3 linked regions of the Oryza sativa Japonica Group genome follow. The protein of the gene in region 2 binds, or shares a complex with, the protein of the main gene of each other region. Links are inferred from orthologs where the notes say so. Each region holds a gene or a part of one and is shown on either strand. Other genes may lie near its edges. The genes, in order: structural maintenance of chromosomes protein 4, condensin-1 complex subunit CAP-D2 and condensin complex subunit 2.

The links.
Region 1: condensin-1 complex subunit CAP-D2 (region 2) and structural maintenance of chromosomes protein 4 share a complex: the UniProt entries of both Arabidopsis thaliana proteins name them as parts of the condensin complex. The link is inferred for Oryza sativa Japonica Group from reciprocal best matches to the Arabidopsis thaliana genes AT3G57060 and SMC3.
Region 3: condensin-1 complex subunit CAP-D2 (region 2) and condensin complex subunit 2 share a complex: the UniProt entries of both Arabidopsis thaliana proteins name them as parts of the condensin complex. The link is inferred for Oryza sativa Japonica Group from reciprocal best matches to the Arabidopsis thaliana genes AT3G57060 and EMB2795.

What each region holds. Positions count from the first base shown.
Region 1 is NC_089039.1:24,530,262-24,534,585, forward strand, and holds the start of structural maintenance of chromosomes protein 4, read left to right. Parts: upstream 1-1,388; 5' UTR 1,389-1,724; coding exon 1,725-1,859; intron 1,860-3,015; coding exon 3,016-3,105; intron 3,106-3,685; coding exon 3,686-3,787; intron 3,788-3,872; coding exon 3,873-4,049; intron 4,050-4,228; coding exon 4,229-4,324. UniProt on the Arabidopsis thaliana protein: Central component of the condensin complex, a complex required for conversion of interphase chromatin into mitotic-like condense chromosomes.
Region 2 is NC_089041.1:28,021,121-28,024,216, forward strand, and holds part of condensin-1 complex subunit CAP-D2, read right to left. Parts: coding exon 2,828-3,096; intron 2,741-2,827; coding exon 2,549-2,740; intron 1,806-2,548; coding exon 1,155-1,805; intron 1,052-1,154; coding exon 881-1,051; intron 791-880; coding exon 723-790; intron 635-722; coding exon 412-634; intron 302-411; coding exon 198-301; intron 103-197; coding exon of another isoform or gene 99-102; coding exon 1-98. UniProt on the Arabidopsis thaliana protein: Essential protein. Regulatory subunit of the condensin complex, a complex required for conversion of interphase chromatin into mitotic-like condense chromosomes.
Region 3 is NC_089035.1:19,816,827-19,821,048, reverse strand, and holds the start of condensin complex subunit 2, read right to left. Parts: upstream 2,862-4,222; 5' UTR 2,816-2,861; coding exon 2,510-2,815; intron 2,358-2,509; coding exon 2,256-2,357; intron 2,135-2,255; coding exon 2,017-2,134; intron 1,327-2,016; coding exon 1,259-1,326; intron 1,167-1,258; coding exon 1,106-1,166; intron 985-1,105; coding exon 784-984; intron 693-783; coding exon 391-692; intron 1-390. UniProt on the Arabidopsis thaliana protein: Regulatory subunit of the condensin complex, a complex required for conversion of interphase chromatin into mitotic-like condense chromosomes.

The sequences.
Region 1 (4,324 bases), on a different chromosome or scaffold from region 2:
ACCATTCTATGTATTACTAGCTTGTAAAGACGTTATTAAAGCCATTCTATGTATTATCTGTCTGCCTGGGCCGAACAGCCCATGCGCATCTCAACCAAAAAGAGAAGGAAAAAGTTCACTTGGTCACTCATCTTACCGTTAGGTTTCAAAATCGCCCATAAACTGGAATACCAATTATAATGTATCCCTAATATTTTAAAACCGGGTTACAATGGGTCTCATTGTCTCAAGACAATATTTAGAGCGGTTTGCTGACGTGGCGACTGAGTCAGTGTTGAACCCACATGTCATAAAAAAAATAATCACCGTCCCTCTCTTCCCTCCGCTCCTAATGTGATTCCATCACCGCAGTGCCCACGTCCGGGCCAGCCTCCGCCTCCGTGCCCACTGCCACAGCACTTGTCTCTACCTCCGCACCCACTATCTCTCATCTCGATGTCGCTCTAGTTCTGCGACGACGATGACTCGGGCGACGTCGACCTTGAGCCACTTTCCTGCTGCAATGTCACACCCCAAGCCGGAAGAGCCATTTGAGGTAGGGCTGCTGTCTCCAGCTACAATGGTGCTTCCCTGGTAGTGAGGTGGGATAACTTCTCTGAAGTCTTGCATACCTGGGCTCGGGTGAGGCCGCAGGTGTCGACGAGGTACTCCTTGACGGCGAATGGTTTGAGTGAGACGCGCGCAGTGGTGAGGGGAGACGATGGAGGGAGAAGGGCCGAAAAATTTCGACGAGAGGGAGAGGGGACACCCACCGTAGTAGTAGAGAAAGGATGTGTCTCCAGAGGTGAATTGTGGTGGCAGCGGTGCAAGGATCATAGCCGCGTGAAATCACAAGGCGTTGTGGTGTCAGTGGTAGGGAGCTCGCCGACGCATCAAGCCACCTCCGCACTGAGCTCCTTGCAGCCCCGTCAACTCACCGCACCTCTCCTGTTCGGCCATCGCCCACCACCAACCTCATGGAGGCTAGGAGAGAGATGTGAAAAGAGGCGGAGAGAGGTAGAAGAAGATTGGGCCACTGGCATGTGGGTTCCGTGCTGACTCAGCCGCCACATCAACTAAAATCATTATCAATACTGGCTTGGGACTTAATATGCCTCAGTTTTATAATATTAGGGATGTGCTATATCTGGTTTTCCAATTCATGGACAATTTCAAAACTCGATGACAAGAAGAGGAACCTGAAGTGAACTTTCTCCGAAGCAGAAGGCCGACCAGAAATCAGCCCAACATGAGCCCCATATAAGTTCGCACACGAAAGCAGCGCATCGCTCGTAATCCAGCCCAACTCCAGAGTCTTCCTTTTGGTCTGACACATTTGCTCGAAGCGGGAGGAAGAAAATCCTCTCGCCGTTTCAGTTTTCCCTCCCAAATTTTCGCCCAAAATTCCCAAATCCCACATTCCCCTCTCGGCCGCTTCGACTTTTCCCCAAAATCCCCCCACCGCCACCGCCTCCGCCTCCACCGCCGACGGCCCGAGATCTGCGCGCCTCCACCGCCGCGGCCTTCGTCGGGCCCGGAGCACCCGCGCCGCCCGGTCGCCGTCGCTCGGAGTTGCGCGCGCGCGGTCGCCGTCGTCCCGAGTTGCGCACCGCTTGGTCGCCTTTGTCCTCGAGCCGCCCCCCTTCAGCCGGTGCCGCCCTTGCTGGGCGAGTGATCTTCCGGCGGGCGGGCGGCGGCGGCGGCGGCTCTCGCGGTCCGGTCCTCCCTTGCTGCTGCGGTCAGGCATGGAGAGTTCCCCGCCGAGGTCACCCGCGCCCTCGCCAGGGAGGGCGGGGAGGCCGCGGCTGTTCATAAAGGAGATGGTCCTCCGCAACTTCAAGTCGTACGCAGGGGAGCAGCGCATCGGCCCTTTCCACAAGGTCTCGTTCTCTCTCTCACTCGCAAGCACACGACACGAGCGCGCAAGCTAGCTACAGTATATCTTAATTCGTCGCGCTCATAGTCATAGATGACGTATTCCCCCACTACCAATCCCCGGTTTTCGTTTGTTTTTGGCGCTATTCAGGACCCTCCAGCTGCAATGTCATGTGGTGGGCTTGCTTTTTTTACTTGACCTGTACGATCGTTGAACCCTAGGCACGGCAGTTGGATATAGCAATTTAACTTCAATTGTGATAGCGTAGGAGGTGACCACGTATACTTTCATTTGAGTTTTCCATTTCCCAGTGCCTACAGAATCCTAAATAAGTTAAAAACCGTGTTATAGCATTTTTAGGAATTCGTGTTATCTTCAGTGTGGCCGTTCTGCCTGGCCTCTAGTTTATGAAGTGAAATACCGATACGCGCATTGTTACTAGGTTCTGAACCTATGTGACGTTTTGTTTATTAGGTTCTGAATTTGTTGGTCTAGTTTTGGTCTCACGAATGTTAGATTAGAGTGGAGGTTTTTGAGTTGTGCACTGGTTTTACATTTGTTCTGAAACTTTAGAGTGGCATGGTCATACTCCATCAGTAGTATGTTTTGGGTTCACTTTGTTTTGTTTGGAGATATTTTATTATGAAGAGTAAGTCACATGGTTTAATGGCATTTGTTCTACCCAGAAATGGAGGTTCCTTATTCAGTTCTATGGCTTCTATCTGAATTTGCCCTTTCATACGTTGAAATTTCAGACCTAACTCTTTTATCCTCAGAATGTCGTTTCTGCAGTTTAACTTTCACTTGTTCTGTAGTACCTAAGATATAAGGAAAGCAACGTTTATCATAATTTTAAATTTTACTGATTTTCAAGTGCATCAATTTAAGTGGCCAAATGACTATGATTTGTGAGTAGTAACACATCTTACATTCCAGAAATGCCGTCTAACTTTATAATCGTGTTTTTATGGTGACCTGTGCAGAATTCACAATTCTTGTGTGTGTAACCATCGTGTTCTGTGCAGAATATCATTATAAACTGTTTATAGGTACTATCGATGAGTGCACTATGCTTCAAGCTCTTATGAACATAGGTCTACCACTCTGTCGCTAGGATCCATGCATCGTATAAAAGAATAACCGCTTTTTCTTGCTTTCAGAGTTTCTCAGCTGTTGTTGGGCCAAATGGCAGCGGGAAAAGCAATGTCATTGATGCGATGCTGTTTGTGTTTGGGAAGCGTGCAAAACAGGTGGGCAATATTGCTTCCTAACTGTAAATGTTTATTGATGTTCAACATTTTTCTGGTCAGCTCAGTGGCAGATTTAAGCTAATCATTGATTTATTCTATCTCAAAAAGTCATTGTATTTTTTTATCCATTCAGCGAGTGCTAGATGCCAAAGTTGGCATGTAAGTGTAAGTTATTCCCAATGTTTTTAAAGGCTGGGCAACAAACTGCTACTTTATGTTTGTTAGTGTGTTACTGATTTTGTATGCAAGGCGAAAAGTAAGCTTCAAAGTCTCTGCCCAAAGGTTTTTGAGAATTTAGTGTAATGGTACTTTCATGATAGTAAACTAGTTATTGAAGAGAAATGTATTTAATACTTGAATACAATGGGGCCCTTGTATTTCCTGTTTACTATTGCCCATTTCCTCCAAAGGTTTTTCCTTAAAAGTTTTGGATTAAATGCTATAAAATTCACGAATAACTTAAGCTCTTGAGAGATGATCTTGCTATTTGTTAGCTACTCCATATTTTCTTAATTCAGAACAACCTATTTAGGTTGTTTCAAATCATAGACTGTTTCTGACCAGTTTTCCATCATTGTAGATGCGCCTGAACAAGGTCTCAGAACTCATACACAATTCTTCTAACCACCAGAATCTAGACAGTGCTGGGGTCTCCGTCCATTTTCAAGAAATCATTGATTTGGTATTTCTTGAGCCAAGTATTTAGCATTTCATATTGCTTAGCTAGTGCCACATAATTTATTTCCCTCCCTCTATGTCCATCATAGGATGATGGGAACTACAGGGCTGTTGAGGGCAGTGATTTTATCATCACAAGAGTTGCTTTCCGTGACAACACTTCTAAATACTACATAAACGACCGTGGAAGCAATTTCACTGAAGTAACTAAACTGTTGAAGGGCAAAGGAGTTGACCTTGATAATAATCGCTTTTTGATCCTTCAGGTTTGTGTTTCTTTTTCCATTTACACATGAAAAATGCGCGTGTTTTGTAAGTTTAATTTTGGACATATGTTGCATATTATTTAGTATGTTTACATGACTATGAGGGATATAACAGACATCCATATGGTGTTATATTTTATGGTTTTGCACTGCATAACTTCCAAGTTGGGCACTTTCAGGGTGAGGTTGAACAAATCTCCCTGATGAAACCAAAATCTCAAGGTCCACATGATGAGGGGTTTCTAGAATATCTGGAAGACATCATTGGGACAAAT
Region 2 (3,096 bases):
TGATCAAGAATTGCATAATGCTGCAGAACGTTTCATCCTTGAGTTGTTGATTGCACAATCTACCCAGGATATCCGGAAGAAGATTATAAATTGGATTGCTTCCTAAAAAGATCAAAAAGAAAAAGAACTAAACGTCAGATAAGTCAAACATGTATATTCAAGTTACGCAATTTATTTGACCGACACATTTGCTGGACATGCCTTTCTTTGATAACTCATGAAAGAAGAGTTTTGCAAGGCTTGAGATCCTCTCGTCTTCATCTTCTATCCTTACGGCCATTTCATTAATAAAGCCTTTAACCTATAAATATTTTGCAAAGATGTTTAAATATAAAACTGAGAGGGGCATGGTGTTCGAACAAACACACACACACACACACACGAGAGAGAGAGAGAGAGAGAGAGAGAGACCTTCATCATATCATTCAATATAAGATGTGAAATGACAAGCACAGTGTTCTTCCTCACAGATGCCGAAGGATCACGTAAGCGTGCATATATGTGCTCTGTCCAAGGTTCTAAGAGGTTTGGAAAGCGAACCACTAAATCACCAAGAGCTATAGTGCAGTTTGATCGGACAACTTCAGAAGGCGCGCTCTCAGCAGCAGTAAATAGGATCTGAAGATTTGCTTCACTGAAAGTTGAGCATTTGATGGAATATAAATATCTGGAGCACATCATATTGAAAAGGTGAAACAGCTGGAATATAAATATATACTTACCAGAATTCTGCATCAATAATCATTAGCTTGCAAAGAGCAAGCATTGCAGAGGCCTGTAACCCTGGAAACTGCATTAACAAAAAAGTAAGGAACAAAAAACAGAGAGTAGTAGAGTCAAAACATTAAGAAAATAAAGGAAGCTCAATACAAATTAGGACCTTTTGAAGCAAAGCCAGGTTCCTGCAGAGTTTTGCGAGAAATGGTGCACAGTATCCAATAAGATTCTTTTCAGAATTGGACACAATCTCCCTTTCTGCCTTTTCAGCGAGGGACTCTATTGCAATATCTACAGATGCACCAATTCCCAACTCAGCATTTATACCTTGTGCCTGCCAGCATCACACAGTAAAAGAGAAGTGCAATACACACTCAGACGAAAGAATGGTAACCCAAAATCGATTAGGCCACAAAGCAAACTAAGAAATAAAATACCTCCGAATTTTTGGAGGCATCTGCCTGAAGATCCTCGGCAGTAGGCTCTGATTTGTCATTCTTCCGTTTCTGTTTCTGAATTTTCTTAACAGAAGTCTCAATGTAAACCAAATGATTCAGTGCTATATGACTAATAATGAAAAGAAATCTGCCCAGATTTGTGGCTGGTGTCGATGACAGCATGGAACCATTCTGAGTTTCATTTTCATTTGACATGCAATCAGTTCCTAAGACACCGAATACAGAATTAAGTGATTTCTTTACAATCTGAGCAGCGAAGATTTCAGGTGCTGGGTGTAAAGCGTAGATGGCACTTATAGCTTTATCTGCGGCTCCATACCATATTTTCTCAGGAAGTGAGAGGCTAGTTATCAGGCCTTGCAATGCAGCGAATACCCTACTACCAGTACTAATTAATTTGACTTTGTCTTCATTGGATAATCTTTGCAGGGCAATGCATGCAGTTCTAGCAAGCAGAGGCTCCTCCTTAGCCCAGCGTCCAAACCCAATATCAATAATATCTTGCAAATGAGTACCCAAAATGCTGGGAGATGACTTTGCTGCCATGCAAAGAATCGATAAAGCTCCACGGCTTTGCACTGGTTTCACACCATTGATGTGAAAGCAAAAATAATCCCACAGGGCTGTTATCTGCAAAAGACAATGGGATTTAACAAGTGTGAACTTCCCCAACAAAAGATAATAGGTGTCACTGAAGTTAGATAAATAACATTCGACAAAATGGTATAAGTTATGTTATAGGCAATATAAATTATTTTGATGAGCAGCTAACAAAAGATACTTCAAGATGAACAGAAAAAAGTTCCCACTGTAGGATCTAGATAAGGGAAGTTCACATCAGAAAGTGGAGAAACTGGGAGCAATATTCTTTGCATGCATCTTAAGTTCTTAATTTATGCATATTCAGCAATTAATGCACTCACTTAATTGCAAGTTAGTACTACCTTGCATTCTCAATCTATGTGCAGAATCACTTTTGGTGCACAGGAGATTGGTGTGCTAGAATAAATGAGTACTCCCCTACATTCCAAAATATAATGAGCAACTATCTCTTACGCAAAAACCAAGAAAAAATTATTATCACCTTCTAATTTGGATCATCCCAATAAATAAAATGCATGCACCCAATGGGATTAGAGATCAGAGATCTTGAGGGTAGAGGCTTTAAAAATAGAACTTAGAGGAGGGGGAGGTGCTAGTCAATAGCATGCACGCATGCATGCGAACCTCGTATTATGCAACATTAGGGGAAAAAATCGTTGTGCCCTATATTTTGGAATGGGGGGAGTACTTAGCATTACTGTAACTAAACTGTAAAAAATAGCATTTGAAAGGTTGCTATGAGCAAACTTTGAAGGGAAACAAGAGTGCACCGTGTTGGATGAAATTTCTCCTTTTGATACCAATGAACTAACTAAGCTTTCAAGGGCAGCAAGGTCACCAATGCTGCATTCAATGGTAAGGTTTAATAAACTTTTGGCTGTTTCCGTGGGACTTTTCTTTGTGTATATAGTGATGAATGCACTCTCCACAGCTTCATATATTGACTTATCCTGAGAAAATACCTGCAAAATTTATGAAGATAAGGAAGTGACGAAGTGTACATTCTAACTCATATTCACAAACAACCTACACTTCCAGGGAGGCATTACCAGAGGTAACATTTTCCGGAGGGCTTCTTCCGAACCTTCAATCTGAAATTGTCTGCATCTCATTAATAGAAGAATTGTGTTCTCAACATCAGTGGCTGAAGACGATGCCAACAACTGGACAAGAGTTGGCATTAATGAAGTTATACATGCCGAGAATCTCAGACCAGCCTCAAGTGATGCAACTAAAGCTCTAATCTGTTCCAAGTTTGTTATATCCACAATTGTGGGATCTTGATCCTTTGGGTCTTGACTAGAAGGTAAACAGCTAT
Region 3 (4,222 bases), on a different chromosome or scaffold from region 2:
CTGCAAAAAAATATACCCTCAGATATTTATACTTCAGAAAACAAACAAATAAACCATAATTTGAACTGAGTACTTCAGACATTTCAATCAAAGAAATGTCATTGGATGGTGAATGAATGGATAAGTAATAGGCATCAAATTGCATCCTACAAAGTTACTCAATTTGACTTTTATCTTAAAAAAATATTAATTGATACCATGATTAATCAATGTTTTCTCACATTCATTTAATGTCAATTCTCATAGATTTTTAAACTGCGCAGAAAACTCCAGTAATTGGAAACATTGGGAAATAAAAAGAAGAAAAGAACAAAAGCTGTCAACCCCCAAAAAATGCATGCTCTAACCACACACAAAATGTGTCTAGGTTTTACTGTTTGCAGGAAGTACCTCTTGACCGTTCATGGAGCTATGATCCATTGGGTCACAGTGTTCATCATACACGCTCTCTTGATCATCACAACCTCCAAAATCCCAAGTTCCACAATCATTTTGCATATCATTTTGTGTGATGTCATCATTCGCCACATCATTACCGTCAACCACCTGATCTTCCATCACTGGAATTTGCCTAGAAATTGCTTCATGAGGTGGTCTTCGGTTTTCATCATCAAACTGATAAACTATATTGCTCAAGGTAGGAGAAATATCATTGCAGAGGGGCATATGAATTATCATCTGCTCGATTTGCTCTGTTTAAGAGTAGACCATTACAAAACCTTAAATGGAAATAAAAAAATGCAGAGCATAGACAGCAGAATAGAAACAGATTGACAATCATACCTTTAGCAAATGAAAGACCAATCAACTCAGCCATCTCAGTTTGCATATCACTTAAGATGCACTTGTCAGGTGCTTCAAACGAATCAAAGAGCACACGGCAACTGTCATATACTCCGAGGTTATATGACAAGAGACCCTTTGCCCCACCCTCATCAAATTGCGCGGTAGTTTGATGGTACAAAGGATCAACCGTGAAGGCAACTAGCAGAAAGTGCAATAAATTAATATTATACTCTACAATTTTAAACTTTTGGTCCTATGATAGTAATCCCGACAGAAGCACAAAGCAAAAAAGTTTTTAAAAGATCTGCTTGGAGCTTACCATCAAACTTCTTTACATTAAGCGAATCAAATGAGGACTCCAAAGTTGATGTGGGTGATATCTGCACATATGAAACAGCACTAGGCTATTAGAAAAAAAACCAAGCAGAACTTAAGTGGAAAAACGAACAGTAACCAATTCAGATAGGCATACCCTCCTATCTGCATCCTTTTTGTTTGTACCTTCTTGTGAATGCTTTGGATTGCTACCTTCTTCTGAATCTTAAGTAAAATAAAACACCAAATCAGGACATCATAATGAAGCAGCATGCATTTACCAAGGGAAAGCTATAGGCACAACAAAGGTGTATTTATGATAATTTGCAGAATTACTGCCTAACTTTTACCTTAAGGGTGTCTTTAGTTCCTGAAAAAAGTTGGAAGTTTGAAGAAAGTTGGGAGTTTGGAAAAAAAGTTAGAAGTTTATGTGTGTAGGAAAGTTTTTGATGTGATATGATGTGATGGAAAGTTGGGAATAGGGGGGAAACTAAACACGGCCTAACAAATAAAACAAATGATCAAATGCAATTCAACTAATCCTCGTGCATCATTTATCATCTAAGGTTTTGAGATACAGTAGTAGCATGATCGTGAAAACTGAAGAGTGCTCCAATGAACCAAAAGTCAGAAAAGGCCATTTCTCACAGGGACTTGATTTCTTAAAAAAAATCTTAAAACATCTTTCTATTTATTGTTCGATCAATTTATAGATGGACATTTTTTTTGGTACAAAGCCAAATTTCTATCATGTAAGTTGACTTAGTTTGAATTTAACTGAAACAGTTTAGTGGTGCCCAGAATACTAATAATACTTTTGCAACTCGAAGCTGACTCACATGAATAAAATCGAATTACAATCGAATGGCTACAGTAAAAATTGGAAAGCGCTATGAAACTCTAGTGGGTATTTACCAGCCTCATCGCCTCTTCCAGCACGGTTGATGCCTCCAAGCACCTTGTACGCCTCAGAGTGCACTGAATCTACACGCAAAGAGTAAATCTTCACGCCCGCCTCGAGCGTGCAGCTAGCCTGGTCACAAGAAAATGGTTAAAAAAAAATTTCTCAATCGAAGTCAGAAGAGGTCACAAATCTCCTCCCACGGTAGTAGTAGAAAGAAGGTCGAAAATGGAAGAAATCAGCACAGCCGCACCTTCTGGAAATTGGTCTCGTCGTCGTCCTCCTCCCCGGCCTGGATGATCTCGCTGAGGTGGTCGATGAGCCCCAGCTCCCACGTGTTCTTCTGGTTAATTTTCTGCTCAAATTCCCCATCGGAAAAGAGGGGGAAAAAACAAAAACACAAAGAAGGCGAACTCAATACGAGGCGCGCGCGAGTGGCCCTAGGGTTTCGGCGCGGCGGTGGGGAAGAACAACGACGAGGGGGGGTAAGGTACAGAAGGCGCGTACGTTCTCGGAGGCGAGCTTGATGCAGTTGTGGAAGAGGTCCATGACCTGGTCGCGGTTGAGGAGGTCGTGCTGCTGCTGCGCCGCCGCCCTGGGGGCGAGGGACGCGGCGAGGGAGCGGCGGCGGACGGAGGCCGCGCGGGCGGCGGCGCGGGCCCGGGCGCGCTCGAGCTGGTCGTCGTTGGAGCCGAGCGGGAAGGCGGGCGGCGGCGACTGCAGCAGCAGCAGCCGCGGCCCCGCCGCCGTCCCGCGCGCCGGCGGCGGGGTCGGCGCCGGCGCCAGCGCGGTGGCGGGGTCGGCGGCTGGCATCTTCGCGGCCGATCGATCCGCGGAGAGGAATGTCGATTTGGGGGATTTTTTTTTTTTTTGAGTCGGTTTGGTTTTTGGGGGGGTTTTAGGCGGCGATTTCAAATTTTCGGGGAGAGCCGCCGGAATGGGAAGGGGTTTGAGGGAGTTGGAACGATGGGGGGAATCTGTCTAACGGGCGGAAAGAAGTGCATCTCTCTCTCTCTCTCTCTATGCCACGTGGGCCCACTGGTCAGATAAGGACATGTGGTCGTGACAAAATTCAGTATATGTATGCTCATCATTTCATGATTTTTTTTTTTAGATTTTCCCTTGCTTTCGTCAAGATTCATAATAATCTGCTCTTGTTTTTCTGCATTTTCTAGTTTTTTCTTTTACTTCTTCTTTTTTTACTCCTGCCGCATCTACCACATGAGGGCATGTTTATCCGATGAAGTAGGAACCGAACCAAATATCCACATTTTTTTAAAAGTAACATGGGTGAATCTACTCCACAAAATACAAAGGGTGCAGTTACTTTTTTAAAACTCCAAAACTCTAGCTTCATATCTGAAATATAAGTATTTTTTGCTGCATTAATCTGTATCAATATTTTTGGCAACGTTATCTCGTGATGGTGGTGGTTCTATGTACATGAAGCCAATGTTGATTTTTATAAGTTATGTTTATGCTTGCGATTTGGCTAAATGAGGAGAGAGGATTGCTATCTAGCGTGTACGTGCCAGCAGGTGCTCCTACCCTGCGCATTTTTCCTTTTTTATTGCTGTTTTTGCACGCTCCCCAACTTTCCGGTGCGTTTTCCTTTTTTCATGATTTTTTTAATCTCCAGCGCATGTTTTTCCTTTTTCTGTTTTTTAATGTATTTTACAATTTAGATCTTTTATCTCAAATTTAAAAACTTCTATTTGAAACTTTCAGCTTAAAATTTGAACTCAAACTGCAAAACTTACATCTCAAATTTCGAAACTCTCAACTCGAATTTTAAAAACATTAACTCAAAGATTAAATAAATCTTGAGTCAAAAGTTTTTAAATCCGAGTTAAAAGTTTTAAAATCTTGATTTGAAAGTTTTCCAATCCGAGTAAAAAGTTTCAAATATTGAGTTAATGGGATGGAAGTGTTGAATTGTAATCCAAATTCATTTGCACACGAATAAAGGCCAGCTTTAAATGGAGCGAAGCGGAGGCCCGTCGCCGGAGGTTTGGGATACCGTGGTTTTTTCTCTCCTACTTTAGAAGGGTTTTCCATGTTAAATCTTATGTCTTTATGATTGATTTATTGTTTTTTATGGTTTATGTGTCTATCATTTTCTAACATGATGGAGTTGGGAGAGCCGCTCGACACCGTCGTGTGATGGAGCCCACTCCCGTCAAAGGAGAAATTCAAGTACAAGTGCACAACAGAAACATT